Xenopus tropicalis: one gene and its partner. The protein of the gene in region 1 interacts with the protein of each later gene in a biochemical or structural test. Links are inferred from orthologs where the notes say so. Each region holds a gene or a part of one and is shown on either strand. Other genes may lie near its edges.

Region 1 (4,196 bases):
TGCTACACAGGCATAATCTTTCACACAAGTTAATAATCCTTTAAACATAAGGTGAGTTCTAGTTCAACAGTATGCATTAAAAATCTAAAGGGTGTCAGCACATTCTTTTTTTTTAAAGGTTGATTTTTATTTATTTTTGTGTCAGCACAATTAGCATAGTTATTGGTGATGGTTATTAGTTCAACCAGTAGCACACTCATTCAGTTCAGAGGAGATTATATTTTAATTGTGCATATATTGAGGTGCTTAGCTTAAACTACACACCTCACAGTGTGATTAAAGTGATACTGACACTAAAAAACTACTCCTCAAAATATGAATGTGTCATGCTGACTTTTTTCACTAATAGGGCTGCTTTTGTAAGTAATTGTTACTTGAAGTTCCTAAACCTGACTTTTGCCAACCTGACTGTCCCTTCTCAGACTGTCAGTTAGAGCTTCTAATGCTAACCGGCTACTTCTGCACAAATATGGCCGCCCCCTCATAGAGGAACATAGGGGTTCAGATAGGCAATGTAAAAGCATTGGGCAAATACTTTTAAGGCAAAATTATAGATAGCATGCAAAGATAATGTTATTATGGATGTAAAAAATGTTTTAATTTCTGGTGTCAGTATCTCTTTAAGTTCTTGTTATCATCCAATAAAGCACATTAGTCTCTCACCAAACTTCACATTCTGTTGTAAAGATGGATGTTATTCCCTTATGCGCGTTGAGGGGCTAGCGAGGATTCCCCACTATGCGCCTAAATAGCAATTAGGTAACATATTCACTGTGACCTGCTTAACCACAATATTCAGTCAGTTTGTTGTATAATTAGATAACAATCTCTCACACCTCTCTCCCCAACTGTTGGACTAATTTCTCCATAGGAATGAGACTGTACTTTATATATCATAAGTACTGATGTCATATACTTGCACTTTCATGGCATGTACCTCACATCAAATTAAATTTACCACGATCCTCACGTGCACCCTTATTATGCTGTTAGTTTGGCCACAAACTGATGTATGTTTTGCTGTATTAGCTTCCTCTGGGATATTAGTGTTATTATATTTACATTTTGTACATTCTTTATCATGCTATTTTGAGTATTGCCAAATAACACAATAAATGCACTTCAAGCATGTTTAATTGATATAGTGTTGGTATTAGTGTGCCCAACAATACACCACTGTTCTATTTTTTTAATTCTTGCTTAATTTGTTGCAGTTTTTTAAACAAAAATTAGGCTTACATGCTTTAGAAAACATCCCATCCACAAGATGAATTGGTCAAAAATGTTTGTTTTTGAATTATTTAGTGGGTGCGGGAGGAGGACCCACACATCATGTGTCTCCAGGAAATAAAATGTGCAGAGAAATTGCTGCCTCCAGAAATTAAGGATATGCCAGAATACCCCCACAAATACTGGGCATGTCCTGATGAAAAGGAGGGGTACAGTGGAGTGGCCATGCTCTGCAAGGACAAGCCGTTAAATGTAACATATGGCATTGGTAAGTATTCATATCCAAATAATTCTATTTTGGTTTCTTCAGTCTGTAAATATTAGTCTGTAAGAAGGCAAAGACCTGAGTGCCCTTTTTTTTTTTAATTTAAAATATAACTTACTGTTGTCCTACGCTGAAAATTGTGGGCTTCAGAAAGACTACTATGCATAACAGATAACATAAGCTCTGTTGAATACCATTGTATTTTATTACAGAGCCATTTAATTAAAATCCCTGCCATAGTACAAGATAACTTTGTTATTTGCGAAAAAGGAAAGAGAAATAGTCAGGTTTGTATAAGAAAATCAGTTTCCACACTGATTTGAAAAAAAGGATCAATAAATTTACAAGCAGTAAAATAAATATTTGTTTCCAAAACAACATTACTTCATGCAAAATTTGACATTTTTTTCAGGTAAAAGTAAACACCTTGTATTCTGGCAACAATGTTGCTTTAAAATGCTTCATTTTTGACAGCAGACAAGTTCTAGATTAACTCTATTCTCAGTTAACACATTTTGTGTTGTATACTCCTGTAGGAATTGAAGAACATGATAAGGAAGGTCGTGTAATAACAGCGGAGTTTGACTCCTTTTTCTTAATTGCTGCTTATGTCCCCAATTCGAGCCGTGGGCTAGTACGTTTAGATTATCGCCAGCGCTGGGATGTGGATTTCCGTGCCTACCTGAAGGGATTAGACAGCAAAAAGCCCTTAATATTGTGTGGTGACTTGAATGTGGCACACCAAGAGATTGACTTAAAGAACCCCAAGACAAACAAGAAGACACCGGGTTTCACCCCACAGGAACGCCAAGGCTTTGGAGAACTGCTGGCTGAGGGCTACCTGGACAGTTTCCGAGAGCTATACCCTGATAAGCCAAGTGCATACACATTCTGGACATATATGATGAATGCTAGGGCTAAAAATGTTGGCTGGAGGCTTGATTATTTTGTGCTATCTAAAGCACTACGCCCAGCTCTATGTGATAGCAAGGTCAGGAGCAAAATAATGGGCAGTGACCATTGTCCAATAACACTCCTTATGGCGATATAAAATAAATGATCAAAGGAAAACTACAAGCTGATCCTGTATGCAAGAGGATTTTGTAATATACATAAAATGCTTAGATCTGAAATATTTGAGATTCTTTTGCTGCTTCACAAATGGAATCTTGGATCAGCATTTTCTGTTTGTAATTTTATTATTCATTGCTTTTCAGACTAGAGAACTGAAACTTAACAAGAATTTGCTCTGTGACATTAAGGTTTCTAGTACTAAGGAAGACCACTGCTTCTTCATAGCACATAGACTCAAGATAGGTTTCATTTTGTTAAGCATATGAAATGCATATTGCAAAATCCTCATTTAGCTAGAAGCAATGTTTCCTGTAGTCTTAGAGAATTTTTAATCATTCAACCTAAAGACTATATAGCCATATACAAGGGCTATATAAACTGTATACACTGTAGTGAGCACCATCTCTTCAACACAGCCCCTCTATATGACAAAACTGGATTTTTTTGGTGTTAACCATCATTACAACCTTATGCCCACATGTGGGATCTGGAGAATGTAAAGGCATAACTACCTAGTCACACAATGGTTAGTGCTTAAAAAGTGCCCCTAGTGATGAAATCTAGGAACTTGTATTCCAGTCATAAGAACATGTGAAATTTGCAGTTGATATCTTTTAAGGGAGTGATTGTAAGACTAACTTCGCACCTGTTGCTCAACTATGAGTATTGAAGTTCAGCAAAAACTGGAAAGAGGTTGAAAATCTATGCCGTGGGGGCTGCACATATGCTACATTCATGTGATACTAAGAAAATGTGGGGTTCTCAGCTGTACAAAACAATGCAGTTGTAAAAGAAAATACTGAAAGGTGCTAGTTCTGTATGTGCTTTGACACTGTAAGATGTTACATATTTTTGTCATTTATTAAAAAAAAAGTTTTATAATCCACTGCATTTAATTTATTAATCTGCATAACACATGCTGCCCCCTTCCTCTTTTTGTGACCAAACGGTTATGGGGAATAATGGGAGGAGAGCTGCATAACTGGGGGTGCCAATGATGTACAAAAATAAGCATATTTTTAAACCAAGGATTGATGAAGTAAGGGTCAATATATTAATACAATATAGTGGAAAATGTTGTTCTGGTGTTTCTTTTCATTTTCTTGTTCTTTTCTTTATGATTTTTCCAGTTTTCACTCCTATATTGTTCTTTCCTGTTTTATTTATACTTTTCCTTCCTTCCCACCACTTACTCATTTATGTTCCCCTACAGATTATTCGGGCATGCATAACTCTCTGTGGTCCAACTCTGTAAAGGTTTTGATGTGTCATTACCAAAATGTTAAATTGACTTTGCTATATCTAACATCCTCTGCTACCTCCTCCCTAACTAATTCCAAAGAGTAAACCTATTGGGTTTAATTTATGTTTTTAATGATTTTTTAGCAGAGTCAAGATCTGGTAATCCAAATTATAGAAAGATCCCTTATCCAGAAAACCCCAGGTCCTGAACATTCTGGACTATACCTGTACCTTAATATGCATATACAGGGAAAGAGGAGATTGGCAGTTTCATTTATTTTGTGTATGGGGGTCCTTTGTTGACCACCCTAAACAAACAGCATTCTGATCATTCACTGTGGATAGTTACAATTTGTGTGTGGCACCCTCAAAAAATCATTTTGCA
Region 2 (4,591 bases), on another chromosome or scaffold:
TCTCATAACTGAGGTTTGCGATTGTAGTCAAATGATTTTGTGTGCATTTCTTTCATACCAATTTTACTTGTTTCAGCCTTTTACTGTTAGAAATTGTAAATAGAAAGAAGACATTTTCTAAGCTTTATTCTATTTAACCACTTAAAAATAGCACATGGGTTTCACATATAATAAACCCTACAAATGTGTGAATACTTTGAAAGGAAGTATTTAAGTTCATTCTAAAATACTCCTCATATAAAGTCATATTTTTGTCAACTTTAGTTTTCTGTTTGCACTGAGTTATTTTAATAACATATTTTTACACAAACATTGTGATGATTATTAAAAGACTAATACAGACTATTACTATTTCTGGCTATTAGTGTTGGTTTGGACTCTACAATGACAATGGTGTACAGTGTTGTGTATAAGAAATTAAGAGAAATTTCAGTATTCAGCATACCCGCATAAGCCTTTCGATCCAAATCAGGTTCTGTGCAAGCCTGAAAGATACCAATTATAGAGTTACTTTTGCTTTCTCTGGGGTTGATAAAAGACCAAAATAAGAACCATGCCTAAAGGTTGTACATTCCATACTAATTGCTAAACTTTTATAGACACATTTTTGGTCTTCATTGCCAAGAAAGAACTCTAACAGTAATGGTACATAAAAGAAGGACCCAAGAGATTTTTTGGATCTGTGTGCCTTATCTGACGGGTGGTTCATCTGTTTGATGCCCTTCTTTTCATTGTGTGGAGTCTCATCAGCATTATATATTATATATATTAATGAAGTATTTTGAACTGAATTAGTAGTCTTTGTCTAGTACAGATCAGGGCACTGTAGAAACACTTTTACCTCTAAATTTACAATGAATCCAGAATGCAAATAGGTAGAAAGTGCCCTTCTTATACCCATAACAATTCTGTATTACAGAGCTAGTAAATGGGAGACCCATGCACTGAAGAAAATTTTATGGCATCAAGGACTGCCAAAGGGCTCTACAGAATTTGTTATATAATATTAATATTTATAAAAAAAAAAAAAGTTGGATAGGGCTTCTGTATCATTATGTCTCCCATTTAGCATATATCTTACCATTGTCCTCCATGGCAAATCTCTTTTGGACTTGTCATACCAAGCAAGGAGTTTATCTCGGATTATCTCAGTTTCTTGTGATGTAAAGGAGTGATAAATTGAGGACTGGAGCACATGTTCTGCAAAAACAAACCAACACAAGCTGCTTTCACAAACATTTAACTATCTATGACTATAAACTTTCTTTCACTCTCTAATAAAACCTACCTTCCCTTTTTGGAAACGCCTGCTTTGGGGATTTCCTCTTTCCGCTAGCTGCTGCTGATCTACCCAAGCTGCATTGAAGAAAATGACACATCACCAGTAAAGCAATGTGATTTGAAAATGACAATAAAGTAAGCATTCATATCATGGGAGAGACTAGGGAAATTTATACACATGCATAATACAATGCTTTGTAAATGCCTTAATGTTTTGGCTGACTATGTGTGAATGCAAAAAAAAAAAAAAAAAAAAGAATTTTCTTTTGAAGAGCTGCTGTTAACTTTGACTGTGAAGGGAGTGTGTAAGAGATAATAATAACATATGTTTTGTGTAACATTGATAGGTGAAGTATAAAGGTGAGCAGTTTATCTGATATCTGCTTTTTAACCTATGCCATTTTGCCCTATTTCAGCTTGAATGGCTGCCCCCATGGCTACACAGCACATTATTTATAAGAAGTAGAGTAGTGTTTCTAAAGCAAACACACCATCTTTACCAGTTTAGGGCAACAGTACAATATATTTAAAAGGAAAACTATAACTTTAGAATTATTCCTTAACCAACAGCCTCTTTGAAAGCTTTCAATACCTGCCATACTGGTTGTCCAGAGGTTAATAGTAAGGCTGCAGCATCCCCTTAATCACTTGGATTTCCTTCTCCTCCTGTAACCCACTAGGCCCCCTCCCTCAGGAATGCTTTGATTTCTGGCTTGTGGGCATGCTCAGTTATTCTAAGCTCAGATTACTAAACACGCCCTCCAGTCTAGCAGCCAGTGAAGAGATGGCATTTCTGGTTCCCATAGAAACTCAGCTCTAGTTTCAATTTTCCTAACCTCATCTCCTGAGCTCAGCTCAAACAATGCAGAACTTTTATCAGAGACAGTTGTGCCTGTGTGAGCCTGTATTTTTGATGTGTGTATGGTGTTTGCAAATTTAAATGTATTTGATTATGTATCAGAGGGAAAATGGCCACTAGGTGAAAGCCGCTATTTGCTATAAGAAAATGTGAGGGTGCTAGCAAACAGAGGGGGATATATGCAGTACAAATGGTGCCATTTGGGTGGGGGAGACTGATATACATTGTAGGCAAATGTAGGCTTTACATGTCCTTTAACATTTGAACAGGGGCGGGCCAAGCCAACCGGGCGCCCTAGGCAACCTGGTCGGCCAACTTCGGCCAACTCCCCAGCCCCCCCGAACGGCGCGTGCGCGCCAAAGCACAGGAGGCTGTGCAGGGGGGGCAGGTGATTAGATCGGTCATTGCCTCCGCCGCTAATGACAAGCGGCGGAGGCAATGACAAAGTAGCACTAGGGGTAGGCAGCTGCCTCTTTTGCCTACCCCTAGTTCCGGCCCTGCATTTGAATATGGCTTAAAGGTAAAAAAAAAAAAAAAAGTTGGGGATCTGGTGTAAGGGGGCGACCCACTGACTTTTTTCAGGTTGTATTACCTACTCTATGGTATTATCTGTCTTATGTGAAAACTGTTAATTGCTGTTTATTGTCTTTCGAGGTAACCACGACCAATGCAGCCCCAAGGTAACGCTACGTCCACCAATACCTGGTTTTAGTTCTGGGTGGAGGCATTTTACTTATCCAAAGTCCTGCAAATCTTCCTACAGCAGCAGCAGCACACCTCCCATGCTTCCCAATGCGTTCCAGCCCTTACACACGGCCTCTTCCTGCTCTCTTTCTCATTTAGATATGATAGGTTAGAAATAAACAAAGGAGGTCGGGACGTCAGAGATTGGGCCAATGTCATTTCTAAGCTACTCTTCCCGCGCGCAAAATAGAACAGGCAAAACAGAATACACGTGAGTGACGTCATCTGTATGCGCCGGAAGAAGAGGGGAAGGTGGCATTTTCTCCTGAGAGCAGAATAACTCGTAATCGAAGTGAGTTATTTTTTTTTTTTTGTAATACTTTCCAGCAATAATTTGTGCCCAGTGTATTACACACTGATATAAATGTTGGCGCACTCTGTACCGAAGGGTAATGGATAGGACACATTAGCTTGTTTCCACATAACCCAGGTGAAAGCATCTTATACAGCTGCAGTATCAAATCCAGGTTGCAGAAATTAGGCTTGCTAGGGACAAATGAATGCGATGCAGTTTCATACCGTCTGTGCTGGCTTGCAGATCTCATGGAGCATATATAAATGGTGCTTGTTATAAGTATAACTTGTACTAAGGCAGGGGGCTCAAACTCAATTTACCTGGGGGCCGCAGGAGGCAAAGTCAGAATGAGGCTGGGCCGCATAAGGGATTTCACAAAAAAAAGTCGGGAGCTGCTGATTGCGGAAATGACATTATGCCATCATAACAGTTATTATGGGAAGACGTTCTGTGTACACAATTAGCTCCTTACGTCTTCCCATAATAACTGTTATGATGGCATAACGTCATTTCCGCAGTCAGCAGCTCCCGCCCGCCGTGCCTTGCATTATCCCTTGAATCGCAATAAAAATCGCGAGCCATTCATTCGGCGTTGGTGCGGGCCACAAAATATTATACCGAGGGCCGCGAGTTTGAGACACCTGTACTAAGGCAAAACAGATTGGAAAAATGTAAATATGTAAATCAAATAGTGCAGACAAAGATATTGTTTTATTTTTTTAATATAAAGATGCAACAAAATACAAATAAGTCCTGATTATTTTTCTGCTTGCAGAATATGATTGACATGCTCTTTGCCTTTCTTACATACAGACAGATGAGGTGACCATGACCTCTTTAACAATCCCTGTGGTTGACATCCACAATGAGAACTTCAGTGAACTCTGGCCTTCCTTGTTGCTGGCTTTGAAGACATCCACTTTTATAGCTGTAGACACTGTAAGTGCCAGCAGTAAAACAGTTAAACATGAAACTATTGATATTTCCACTAGGGAGATATAAAGGAAATATTGACTTGAACAAATAAAGTTACAGAAAACTGAAATAGAAATAATTGTAATGTATAGCCCCTAATAGAAAAAAATAATAAGAAATAGAGGGAAAAAAGGAAACCTATCTAAATGTATGCATATTTATCCTTTATTGGGCAGCACTACTGTTATTCTGTTAAGTTTCTGGTTATCTTTATATATATATTTTCACACTGTTAGCACCAACTTGTGCCTTTTGTGCCTTTGCAGGAGTTAAGTGGTTTGGGAGAGAGGAAGAATTTGCTAAACCAGTAAGTAACAGGCCTGGTCTTGGAGCTGAACCTGTTGATAAGGAAACTTTCGTAGCCTTTGAAATCCCACCATTTCAACTGAACAGGTCCTCTCAATGTTGCAGTATTACAGTAACCTAAGCCTCTTTAC

Evidence for each region.
Region 2: the proteins of apex1 (region 1) and mutyh form a complex in vitro, tested with the Homo sapiens proteins (3 studies listed by BioGRID and IntAct, with this or other methods). The link is inferred for Xenopus tropicalis from reciprocal best matches to the Homo sapiens genes APEX1 and MUTYH.

The regions. Positions count from the first base shown.
Region 1 is NC_030677.2:143,029,812-143,034,007, forward strand, and holds the end of apex1 (DNA-(apurinic or apyrimidinic site) lyase), read left to right. Parts: intron 1-1,305; coding exon 1,306-1,498; intron 1,499-2,031; coding exon 2,032-2,546; 3' UTR 2,547-3,648; downstream 3,649-4,196.
Region 2 is NC_030680.2:90,594,205-90,598,795, forward strand, and holds the start of mutyh (adenine DNA glycosylase), read right to left. Parts: upstream 2,969-4,591; 5' UTR 2,869-2,968; coding exon 2,843-2,868; intron 1,357-2,842; coding exon 1,289-1,356; intron 1,201-1,288; coding exon 1,082-1,200; intron 486-1,081; coding exon 446-485; intron 1-445. Other genes in the region: toe1 (target of EGR1 protein 1), read left to right, coding at 4,008-4,118, 4,421-4,461. UniProt on the Homo sapiens protein: Involved in oxidative DNA damage repair. Initiates repair of A*oxoG to C*G by removing the inappropriately paired adenine base from the DNA backbone. Possesses both adenine and 2-OH-A DNA glycosylase activities.